Linked DNA regions of Saccharomyces cerevisiae S288C. The gene in region 2 interacts genetically with the main gene of each other region. Each region holds a gene or a part of one and is shown on either strand. Other genes may lie near its edges.

What was found. Genes that interact genetically often act in the same process or in processes that back each other up.
Region 1: mutations in MAD3 (region 2) and CIN1 together harm fitness more than expected from each alone (negative genetic interaction), as found in Saccharomyces cerevisiae (5 studies listed by BioGRID, with this or other methods).

What each region holds. Positions count from the first base shown.
Region 1 is NC_001147.6:988,218-993,333, reverse strand, and holds CIN1 (Cin1p), read right to left. Parts: upstream 3,546-5,116; coding exon 501-3,545; downstream 1-500. Other genes in the region: MNE1 (Mne1p), read left to right, coding at 1-470; proline permease PUT4, read left to right, coding at 4,552-5,116.
Region 2 is NC_001142.9:406,760-414,877, reverse strand, and holds MAD3 (Mad3p), read left to right. Parts: upstream 1-3,837; coding exon 3,838-5,385; downstream 5,386-8,118. Other genes in the region: DNA-directed RNA polymerase III subunit RPC17, read left to right, coding at 108-593; VTC4 (Vtc4p), read left to right, coding at 1,479-3,644; chaperonin-containing T-complex subunit CCT3, read right to left, coding at 5,716-7,320; TPH3 (Tph3p), read right to left, coding at 7,605-8,118.

The DNA.
Region 1 (5,116 bases), on a different chromosome or scaffold from region 2:
ATTTTGCTTTCTATAATTTGTTGGTTACACAAAGTCACAAATTTTTTCTTTTCGATAAGTTTAGTGATAAGTTTTCGTGGAGGTTGCCAATACAAATCGGAGATGCAATTTCTGAATGGCTATCCAGCTTAGAAATTGATATACAAGAAAACACCGATAGAGTTTTGCAGATAACAGATGACGTCGGCGAATGGTATGTTGAGAATAAACCATTTAAGTCAGAAAAAGGGACCATTCAACCAATAAACATAATGGAATTGCGCAAAATTTTTGGGGAGCGAAAAACTCTATTTCATATGGATTCAGAAATTTTCCAAAAATCTAAAGCAAAAAGAGATAAAGAAATGCGGAATGAAGCTTTATTTACCGCAAATGATGCGGAATATAATTTTGCTGCGGATGTATCCTATGCAAAGAGAGTAGAAAATCTATTTTCTTACATAAGATCTAAGCAAATGCAACAAAAATAATGATTATATGTAAAATTTGCCGTTTACATTCTATAAAGTGATATCAGACTCTAATATATTCGCCAATTCATGTTTCTGGCAGGCCACTTGTAGAGCTTGGAGTTGCCTGGTGACACCTAATTCCAAAAATATCTGGAACATACCTTGTAAAGCGACATTTTGATCAGTCATAAATTTTGATTTTGTTGCGGCGTATTCACGTTTCACAAGAACCAACAACCTTTTCAGTATTATGTTGGATAGATTCTTCTGGTCAGCATTTTCTCTCATTGTGTGGTAACAAGATATTGCCAAGAACGGGAAGAATTTGATCACGCTTACTCTCAATGTCGTACAATCTAATAAATGTAGGTTATAGAACTTGGCGAAAACACCCTGAAAATTAAAATTTGGATGTAGAACAACCAACCCAGATTCCATGATTCTAGTCCAAAATTTTACACAATGAATGGTGAATTTGATGGTGTCAAATCTCATACCTCCTGTTAATGGATCCTTGTTACGATCGCGTATTCTTGATTCAGCGATTTGTTTAGCGCTTGGAATTATTCTGATTAAATCGTGGCATAATTCCAGCTGTTGTGAAGGAGACAAAGATCTGTAGTATACGATAAATGAATCTATTGATGAAGTAAGCTGAGAATCTGTAAAATGTATTGCTCCAGCGCTCACTGCATATCCTTTCCAGAATTCTTCACTTAAACCTTGCTTGTGACGGAAATTGAGTATCGAAGAGTCAGATAACACAGTGATTTGTGATGTGGCCGAAGCAAGTAATTGATAACTTAGTTTTCTGATCTCTGGTACAGGTTCCGCCAGCAATCTCGTTAATTTTGGATTGATGGAGTCGCAATCACCAGATAAGAAATCGGGATGGGATTGCATAAGTTTTAAAGCCTGTATTCTTACCAGACGTCCTACATCACCCTGTTGAGTTATTGTATAATCATCGAGACAGTTGATAATGATGTTGCGAAATTTTCGATACGAATTCGACGGGAGTAAGCTTATTCTAACATCCCAATGATGATCAAGTTCGCCTATCAAAAGCGATCTGGATTGAGGTGACAATAGGGGGAACTGGGAGAAGAAAAGGGAACACATCTTTTCTTGATCGGGCATATGACATATTGATCGGCAAGTCAGTTCGTTATCTGATTTAATTAATTGAACAATCCTTGTGTAGTTTAGGCTAACGCATTGAGATATTATTTGCTGTATTATAGGGATGAATTCGTTGTACAGATTTAACTTCTTTTGTGGGGATACTATGTCTACAAATTTCCAAAACAATTCCTGATTGAAATCATTTTGTCCTGTTAATTGCCAGTATTTCAAAATGACAAAAATTTGAAACAGTTCGGGCGAATTATCGTTAAATTGTCTTTTCGCTTGAGTAGTTAATTGGAATTTTATCTTTTTCTGGTAAATGTCGATACAAATCTCGCTTATTTTCGGGCAATTTACGTCATTTTCGAATAGTTTCAAGTACAAGTACAAAATTTGACAATTTTGTGTAACTGAGCTGCCAGCCTTGTTTAATACCTCTTGCAATAAAGCGGGTGAAGATAATTTCGACTTGATTAATGGAACTAGGTTATAATCTATGTTGAGTTTCATTGTGGTCAAATGTAAATTCTCTAGTAAATTCCAATTGAAGGACCAATCGCGGAATACCTTCCATACGCAAACAGCACTTTTGGAGGTGTTTTCGGGGTTGAACAGCCTACGAATTAGACCAGAGTTCTCCTCGAAAGACCTCGGTAGATCCTTCCAATTTGCTTGCAATATCAAAGCAATGTCATTTTGATTTAGCGCAAGAGATTTGTTGGACCTGCCCAATAATTCTTGGAGCGCGGCAAAACTCGAGTATCTGATTATTAATTCGGGGTCAAAAAAGGCGTTTATTAACAGATGAGAAAGTAGTGATTGTAGAACCTGCGGCGATAAACTATTGCTACGGTTTGACCTTATTACTGACCAGATAATGAAGTTTGTCGAGTCCCTGATATGGTGGCCCTTGATGATTTGAAAGTGAGATTTCTGAAAATGACATGTTTTAGGGATGATCAGAGTCAATACGCGGTCGACTAGATCTATAGGCAGAATTTTGGCCAGAGCCACCTCGGCGATGATCAGAAGGGAAGTGTGCAGCTCATTGCTATCGATAGAATCGCAAGGAGCCTGTAATAGGGAAACCGTATTTTCGATGGTATAATCAATGAGCTCGATAAAAGATGCTGGATCTGCCTGGTGCAGGAACTTGGCAATTTTAGCGAAGGAGTGTGCCAATTGGAATCTTGTGTCTGTGGAATTCGAACTTAAATGGTCATGGAAGAATTCTACTATAGCATCTAGGATATCATGAGAGCCATGATTGAACGAAATCTGGAATAATTTTGGCAGCAGCTTTATTCCGTCATTGGACAGTGCAACTTGTTGTAAGTGTCTTAGATTTTCATTGGAGAAGTAGTAGTTTGCCTTTTCCGAAGACTGAATAAACAGCTTTAAAAATTGGTTGAGAAACGGCACATTTGCCTGTTCCCGTTCCGGTAGCTGGTCAAAGGCATCTGTGAAGTTTTTGAAATATAAAACGGCTTTGATCTTGTTAATTGGAGGTATGCAAATGGGGTAGTTCTCGAACCTGGAAGATACTTGAAGCGTTTTGTTGAATTTATCTTTGAATGCGTAAGGTGAAAGCAGAATGACGCTTAGCCAAGAAAGGTTTAGATAGACGCACAAGACATCGCTGAAAGAAGAGGGCGAGGCTCGATCTTGTAAATAGTTTAAAATTTCGTTTAATCTAAAAATACTTGTATCTAATGATTTAAGGACTTTTGAGTGGGAGATCTTGTCAAGATTGTAGAAAAGCTCCGCAACAAGTTTCTGATCACGCTGTGACATACAAAAGAACGACTTGGTCAAAAGAGGCACGCATCTCGGTAGTATGGTGTCTAGAAGTGCAGGATCATCTTGAAATTTGTTGATCGCGGCAATCGTCTGTTGGTGCTTTTCTGGAGAAACGGTCTGAACTCCAGATTGTATCGAGTCCAGCAAGGCCCGAATATTGTTCATGATTGAAGGGTGTAAAGTGCGTGTGGTGGCGTTCTTTCCAAAAATATTATCGTCTTTCCTTTTTTTTTCTTTTTTTTTTTTTCAATAGTAATAGTATTTCCTAGTGATCTCGGCGATTTTCCTTGATTTCTCCAAAAGCGTTTTTACCCGGACGATATGAATCCATCTATTAAACATCATAACATCATATTATTTTTTTCTGTGCTTCTAAAACGGAGATCAAATACCGGGCCCGCGCGCGATGGCCGGATGTCCGTCCATACTGCAATGTGAATTCCCGCGCGGTTCAAATCTTGTCACAAGTTTGTCAAAATTGCTTGTCATGTCTGCCAAATCTCCAGGGTCCTAAATCTGAGGTAGCACGGCACGGCACAAGATGGTACCCATGGTGCGTGACGACAGCCGCTACTTGCACGGCTTTGTTCCGGCAGCCCGGGTACCCGCGCTGCGAGTTGAAACATCATCAAACCAAAAGGGAAGCGACGTTAGTTTTTTTCATTGCGCTAGCTATGACGTTTGGGTGGCCTAGCCGGTTCGCGTGTGCCTGTCGCTTTTGTCGCTTTTCAACTTCTGCCCGATATTTCCTATCAAAGGAAAATGGGACGTTTTCAACCCCTCGCTATCATCGTGCCTGCACTCTGCCTATCGCCAACTACACCGGGGTTTTATCTGCTTCACCCCTCCATCCAGTGCTGATAACAAGAAGAACCTTGCAGGGTAGGGCAGGACCTACGGCCAAAATACTAATTATGTCTGTTTATGTACATGCCCCAATCTGAATATTCCATGAATGTAGGCACAGCATATCTCCATCCATGTACTGATACAGACGCATAAACATATATGTATATACATACTTATACACTCGAATATTTGTAGACTGATGTACTTCTATATATATATAGGGGGTTTGTGTTCCTCTTCCTTTCCTTTTTTTTTCTCTCTTCCCTTCCAGTTTCTTTTATTCTTTGCTGTTTCGAAGAATCACACCATCAATGAATAAATCATGGTAAATATACTGCCCTTCCACAAGAACAATAGACACAGCGCGGGAGTCGTCACCTGCGCGGACGATGTTAGCGGCGACGGTAGCGGCGGCGACACCAAGAAGGAGGAGGATGTTGTCCAGGTAACGGAATCACCATCGTCCGGGTCGCGCAATAATCATCGCAGCGACAATGAAAAAGATGACGCCATCCGTATGGAGAAAATATCTAAGAACCAGTCCGCGTCGTCCAACGGCACCATCCGCGAGGATTTGATTATGGACGTGGACTTGGAGAAATCGCCCTCCGTCGATGGCGATAGCGAGCCGCACAAACTAAAACAAGGTTTGCAGTCGCGCCATGTGCAACTGATCGCGCTGGGCGGCGCCATCGGTACCGGTTTGCTGGTGGGGACTTCATCCACGCTTCATACGTGCGGTCCCGCGGGGCTGTTCATATCGTACATTATTATTTCCGCGGTGATCTACCCGATCATGTGCGCGCTGGGCGAAATGGTGTGCTTTTTGCCCGGTGATGGTTCTGACAGTGCCGGGTCGACGGCCAATCTGGTCACTAGGTACGTTG
Region 2 (8,118 bases):
CGATCTATGAAAGTTAAGCAAATAACAGCCACAGTAGAAGAGAAGTTGAGTGAATCCAACACCCACCACTGAAAAAATCGACACTTAAACAAAAAACTTTAAACGTTATGAAAGTTCTTGAGGAAAGGAATGCATTTTTAAGTGACTATGAAGTCTTGAAGTTCCTAACAGATCTAGAAAAAAAACATCTTTGGGACCAAAAAAGTTTGGCTGCGCTGAAGAAAAGTCGCTCGAAAGGTAAGCAGAATAGGCCCTACAATCATCCTGAATTGCAAGGTATTACTCGCAATGTGGTTAACTATCTCAGTATAAACAAAAACTTTATCAACCAGGAAGATGAAGGCGAGGAACGAGAAAGCAGTGGTGCAAAAGATGCTGAAAAATCGGGTATAAGCAAAATGAGCGATGAAAGCTTTGCTGAGTTGATGACTAAACTGAATTCTTTTAAATTATTCAAGGCTGAAAAACTGCAGATTGTCAATCAACTTCCTGCCAATATGGTCCACCTTTACTCCATAGTGGAGGAGTGTGATGCAAGATTTGACGAAAAAACAATTGAGGAAATGCTAGAGATCATCTCTGGCTACGCATGAGTGTACAGTGCTTTGAATTGATTTGGACTGGCACTTCCGAAAAACAGAAATTACTTTGTTGTGTAACAATATAACATGTTCAATGAGTATGCATGTATTATTGAACTTAAGCATATAGAAATATTTACAAGAATATACTTTATTTTTTAGAGTTTATTGCGCACACTTTGGGTTAGTCTCGATTTTTTTTATTTCCATTGGAGGAAGGTTATTATTTGGAAATTTAGTGCTGCGTTATAAACGTCTGTAAAGCCAGTACCACAAGCAACTTCGGTGAGATTTAACTTTTGTTTATTCTGTATTTTTGTCGAGGCTTAAAAGGGTATACTAGTTGAGGGCGTTACAGTAATCCCTTCATGGCAAGAATAAAGTAATAGTTATATAATAATTGTCATACGCATTGTTATACCAGTTGACGAGTAAAAAAAGACGCACCGTGACTTCAAGAGCTGTCGCAAACAAGTTCGACAATATTTAACTTATAAACATATTAAAGCTTTCAAAAATATAGTCTTTCGAAGAGCTTTTTCATACTAAGAGAAGCGTTGCTAATATTCCGAATTAATCACGCAATTGCCTCTCTGCTTTCCACGTAACCCATCATAGGAAATTGTATTAATATGTTACTTACTGGAATTGCACAGGAAAACACCGACAAAAAATTGGTTTGTCTGCGTTTTGACGGAGAGCTACTGACTTGTAGGTTCACTTTTTCACACACCGCACTATGCATATATGTTGCATTTTTATTATTCATCCGCACGTGGCTGCACACGTGAATGAAAAAGAAGCAATACTATCTTTATATATTGAGGCAATCAGAAAGAAGTTACAGGCTAACAATCAAATCGGCCAATAAAAGAGCATAACAAGGCAGGAACAGCTATGAAGTTTGGTGAGCACTTGAGCAAGTCTCTTATTAGACAGTACAGCTACTATTATATTAGTTATGATGATCTGAAGACTGAGCTAGAAGATAACTTATCTAAGAATAACGGTCAGTGGACGCAAGAATTGGAAACAGATTTTTTAGAATCTTTGGAGATCGAGTTAGACAAGGTTTACACATTTTGCAAAGTTAAGCATAGTGAAGTTTTTAGACGTGTAAAAGAGGTTCAAGAACAAGTGCAACATACTGTTCGTTTGTTAGACTCCAATAATCCTCCTACTCAGCTAGATTTTGAGATTCTAGAAGAAGAACTAAGTGATATCATTGCCGATGTTCATGATCTAGCAAAGTTTTCGAGACTAAACTACACTGGTTTCCAAAAGATTATCAAGAAACACGATAAGAAGACAGGTTTTATCTTGAAACCAGTTTTCCAAGTTAGATTAGACTCTAAACCATTTTTCAAGGAAAACTATGACGAACTAGTCGTTAAAATTTCCCAACTATATGATATTGCCAGAACTTCAGGTCGCCCAATCAAGGGAGACTCATCTGCTGGTGGGAAGCAACAAAATTTCGTTAGACAGACAACAAAGTATTGGGTTCACCCTGATAACATTACAGAATTGAAGCTGATCATCTTGAAGCATTTACCAGTGTTAGTCTTCAACACTAATAAGGAATTCGAAAGAGAAGATTCCGCTATTACTTCGATCTATTTTGATAATGAAAATCTAGACCTTTATTATGGCAGATTAAGAAAAGATGAAGGTGCAGAAGCCCACAGATTGAGATGGTATGGGGGTATGTCTACAGACACGATCTTTGTAGAAAGAAAGACCCATAGAGAGGATTGGACTGGTGAGAAATCTGTCAAGGCAAGATTTGCGCTAAAGGAACGTCATGTTAATGACTTCTTAAAGGGTAAATATACTGTTGATCAAGTATTTGCCAAGATGCGTAAAGAAGGCAAGAAGCCAATGAACGAAATTGAAAACTTGGAGGCGTTAGCATCCGAAATTCAATACGTCATGTTAAAGAAAAAGTTGAGACCTGTAGTGAGATCATTCTACAATAGAACTGCTTTTCAATTACCTGGTGATGCAAGAGTTCGTATCTCCCTTGATACAGAGTTAACTATGGTGAGAGAAGACAACTTTGATGGTGTGGATAGAACTCATAAGAATTGGAGGAGAACTGATATTGGTGTCGATTGGCCATTCAAGCAGCTAGATGACAAGGATATTTGCCGTTTCCCATATGCAGTCCTGGAAGTTAAATTGCAAACTCAACTAGGTCAAGAACCTCCAGAGTGGGTACGTGAATTAGTCGGGTCTCACTTAGTTGAGCCAGTCCCAAAATTCTCCAAGTTTATTCATGGTGTGGCTACCTTACTAAATGATAAAGTGGATTCAATCCCATTTTGGTTACCTCAAATGGATGTTGATATCAGGAAACCTCCACTACCAACAAATATTGAAATAACAAGACCCGGTAGATCCGATAACGAAGATAACGACTTCGATGAGGATGATGAGGATGACGCTGCTTTGGTTGCTGCCATGACAAACGCACCCGGTAATTCTCTTGATATAGAAGAATCTGTTGGTTACGGGGCTACTTCGGCCCCCACCTCCAACACTAATCATGTTGTTGAGAGTGCTAATGCTGCTTATTATCAAAGAAAGATCAGGAATGCCGAAAATCCTATCTCCAAGAAATACTATGAAATCGTGGCATTTTTTGACCACTATTTTAACGGTGATCAAATATCTAAAATCCCAAAAGGTACTACTTTTGATACTCAAATTCGTGCCCCACCGGGAAAGACGATATGTGTGCCAGTTCGTGTGGAACCAAAAGTTTACTTTGCCACTGAAAGAACCTACCTGTCTTGGTTGTCCATCTCGATATTGTTGGGCGGTGTCTCCACTACTTTATTAACATATGGTTCACCAACAGCCATGATTGGCTCCATTGGGTTCTTTATTACTTCCTTGGCTGTGTTGATACGTACTGTTATGGTTTATGCCAAGAGAGTGGTAAACATTAGACTAAAGAGAGCAGTAGATTATGAGGATAAGATCGGGCCCGGCATGGTTTCTGTGTTTCTAATTCTCTCTATTTTATTTTCCTTTTTCTGCAACCTAGTTGCTAAATGAATACACAGCGTGTTTTTTTTACTGTATAATTAAGTAATAATCATATTAGATATAATAATTTCTTTAGCGCCATTTTTTTATATATGAGAACTACCCTCTTGCCTGAAATGCACACCTTCACCAGGCGCACACTGGTTCAAAAATAGTAAACAAAATCATGCGAAAATACAATAAAAGACGTTAACTTGATAGAATGAAAGCGTACGCAAAGAAACGTATCTCTTACATGCCATCGTCACCATCACAAAATGTTATTAACTTTGAAGAAATCGAAACTCAAAAAGAAAACATTCTTCCCCTGAAGGAAGGCAGATCAGCAGCGGCACTCTCGAAAGCGATACATCAACCACTGGTGGAAATAAACCAAGTTAAATCAAGCTTCGAACAAAGACTGATAGATGAGCTCCCTGCATTAAGCGACCCAATTACTTTGTATCTTGAATACATAAAGTGGCTGAACAACGCCTATCCACAAGGCGGTAATTCCAAACAATCTGGAATGCTCACCCTTTTGGAGCGATGTTTATCTCACTTAAAGGATTTGGAGAGATATCGCAATGATGTTAGGTTTCTTAAAATATGGTTTTGGTACATAGAACTTTTTACCAGAAATTCATTCATGGAAAGCAGAGACATTTTCATGTATATGTTAAGAAATGGAATTGGTTCCGAGTTAGCGTCATTTTATGAAGAATTTACGAATCTATTAATTCAGAAAGAAAAATTTCAATATGCCGTGAAAATTCTACAGCTAGGAATCAAAAATAAGGCTAGGCCTAATAAGGTTTTAGAAGACCGGTTAAACCATCTCCTGAGAGAACTGGGGGAGAACAATATTCAGCTAGGAAATGAAATATCGATGGACTCATTAGAGTCTACAGTACTTGGGAAAACCAGATCTGAATTTGTCAATAGACTAGAGCTTGCAAATCAAAATGGCACATCAAGTGACGTCAATTTAACAAAAAACAACGTATTTGTAGATGGAGAAGAGTCTGATGTAGAACTATTCGAAACTCCGAATAGAGGTGTTTATAGAGATGGCTGGGAAAATTTTGACTTAAAGGCAGAAAGGAACAAAGAAAACAACCTTCGAATATCATTGCTAGAAGCAAATACCAATTTGGGTGAGCTTAAACAACATGAGATGTTATCGCAAAAAAAGAGACCATATGATGAAAAACTACCGATCTTTAGAGATTCTATAGGTAGAAGTGACCCTGTTTATCAAATGATTAATACAAAGGACCAGAAACCAGAAAAAATTGACTGTAATTTTAAACTGATTTATTGTGAAGATGAGGAATCTAAAGGTGGTAGACTAGAATTTTCGCTAGAAGAAGTCTTGGCAATTTCTAGAAACGTTTATAAAAGGGTTAGGACAAATAGGAAACATCCAAGAGAAGCAAATTTAGGGCAAGAAGAAAGCGCAAATCAAAAAGAAGCTGAAGCACAATCGAAAAGACCAAAAATAAGTAGAAAAGCCTTAGTCTCCAAGTCGTTGACCCCCTCAAACCAGGGAAGAATGTTTTCTGGCGAAGAGTACATAAACTGCCCTATGACGCCAAAGGGACGAAGCACTGAGACGTCTGATATCATCTCAGCTGTCAAGCCGCGGCAGTTAACCCCAATTTTAGAAATGAGAGAATCAAATTCTTTTTCTCAAAGCAAAAATTCTGAGATCATTTCAGATGATGACAAGTCGAGTTCGTCTTTCATATCGTACCCACCACAGCGTTGAAATAAAACTAATCCCATGAATGAGTAAGTATACTGGCCAATCGTAAACACATCGACGGCCGACTTTTTTATTTAAAGCACAGATGATATAATGATTATTTAACGAATGATACTTCTATATTAAATCCTATGAGGAGTAATATAAATATAAAAAGGCCAATTTTAAAATGAACGTTTGTCCGATTAACGCTTATGACATACTGTAGGGATGACAAAATTATAGTGAGGACTTTAATTCTATATAAATACATTACAATAGTATAAAAAAACAAAAAAATGTGAAGAAACACCAAATATTAAACGGCAGTAATGAAGTTTAACCTCGAGGCTATTATTCTTGTTTTCTTACACCACTAACAATATCATCAACCCTTAATAGTAAACATGCACTTTCAATAGCGGTTTTGACACTTTGCTGCTTGATGACTTCAGGTTCCCAAATACCGTAACTAACCATATCTACAATTTTCCCCTTGTCACCATCAATACCTGTTGTAAAATTTCCCTGTGCGTGTTTGGCTCTTAGTTGGGATAGGAGTCTAATAGGATCACCACCTGCATTTTGTATCAAAGTACGTGGAATACACTCCATAGCATCAGCTACAGCTTGGTATGGCCATTGCTGGATCCCTTCTAATTGCTTTGCCTTTTCTGCTAATTTGACAGAAACTGCCATCTCGGTGGCACCACCACCTGGGGACAAGGAAGGACTCAACATCACATTACGAGCAACAGCCATAGCATCTTGTAGGTTACGATCTATTTCGTTTAATATATCTTTGGAACCACCACGTAACATTATGGTACAAGCTTTTGGTTCCTTGCAGTTATCCAAAAATGAGAAATATTCGTCCCCAATCATTTCTACTTTGAATAATCCACAGTTTGTACCGACATCACTTTCCTTCAAGTCCTCTACACGATTGACAATGGTTGCACCAGTTACACGAGCAATTCTATTATTGTCTGATTTCTTCACTCTTCTTAAAACACTACATCCACCCTTTAGTAAATAATGCTGTGCTAGATCTGAAACACCTTTTTCAGTGATGACTAGTGTTGGCCTAACGGCTAAAATTTGTTCACACATTAGCTGAACTTGTTCTTCCTCGATTTGTAAAATCCTATTCCAATCTTCCTCCTTTTCAATTTCTATGTTGGTTTGAGATTCACCCTTCTTATATTCTAGTGGACAATCCAAAAGAACAACACGTGGATTCTCTATGTGACGGGACATCTTTGGATGAACAACATCCTTGTTCAATAAGACACCCTTTAAGACGCGAGAATCTAGAACATCCCCCCCAGGAATCTTCTCCACACGGACATATCTTTTGATATCGATTTCAAAATTAGGTTCACCTTCCACAGTTTGTCCCAGGTCTTTACGGACAGTCTTAACAGCGTCTAGAGCTAATTCACACATTTTCTCTGACCAATGTATGACATATTTAGTACCGATAGAGGCTTGAATCAATTTTTTCATAGCGGCATCATTTTCCACATCGACAGGTTTACTTACTTGTTTGATAACTTCTAGTGCATCAGTCAGTGCTTTCTTCAAGGCTTGGATAATAATAACAGGGTGAATATTTTTTTCAATCAAATAAGGTGCACACTGAGCTAAAATCTCACCAGCTAGAATAATAACTGTTGTAGTCCCGTCACCAACCTCTTCGTCTTGAGTACGGGATAACTCCAACATTGATTTAGCTGCTGGATGTGCAACATCAATTTCCCTTAAAATAGCGTGGCCATCGTTAGTCAACACAAGACCGCCCATAGGATCCAATAACATCTTTAACATAGCTTTTGGACCTAAGCAAGTTCGAATGACATCGGCAACTGCCTTTGCAGCAGTGATATTGGAGATTTGGGCCTGACGACCGGTAGTTCTCTCTTGAGAAGCATTCATAAATACCACTGGAGCTTGCATTGTGGCTTATATCACTATTGTACTTGATGATTTTCAACGTATGATCACTCGATATTATCGATGCTTTTTTGATATAATGCTCTCTACTCACTTTATTGAGTGGCGATTTGCTATTTTTTTTTCTTCGCACCATGCGTCACGTTAAACGAAAAAGTTTAGTATTAGGATGGAAGTATATAATATCACATAAGATTATATCAGGGTATATTTGGCTATACAGAAACTGTACCACAAATATATACACTGTATGTAAGTTTTTGAGATGTGGCTATATATGCGAAGAACTATGCAATGGGCGAAGTACTTGCGACGATAGGACGTTCGCACATAGAACTTTTGTATTCATGGGCGTTTACTTGCAATTGATTCATCATATTAGTCGTTTCAGAACTAACATTGCTTTTATCACTCAATGAAAATTCCTTCACAGAATTATCCTTGTCACTCATGCAATTAAGTTTAGAGTGATCCCTCGTAGTATTATACATGCCCATTACATCACTAAAGGTCCTGAAGTTGAGTTCTGTGTTTCTCTTGGAGACTTTTGTCATTCTTTCTTGCAGGTAGCTAGAAAATCTTGACATAGTTAAAGCCATAGTATCGTCAGTATCTTTTTCTTTCAAAGGATTAAATTCCTGGGTCATCAAATGGGCAATCTCCTCTTCAGCAAAATAATCCACTGAGGGCAATTTAGGTAATCCAAACATTAACGAATTTATATCGGTTCTTTCTGTCTTGAATTGAACTGGACGCCCATAAAGTCTTGCACAATCCATCAAAGGAATAATGAACCTGATC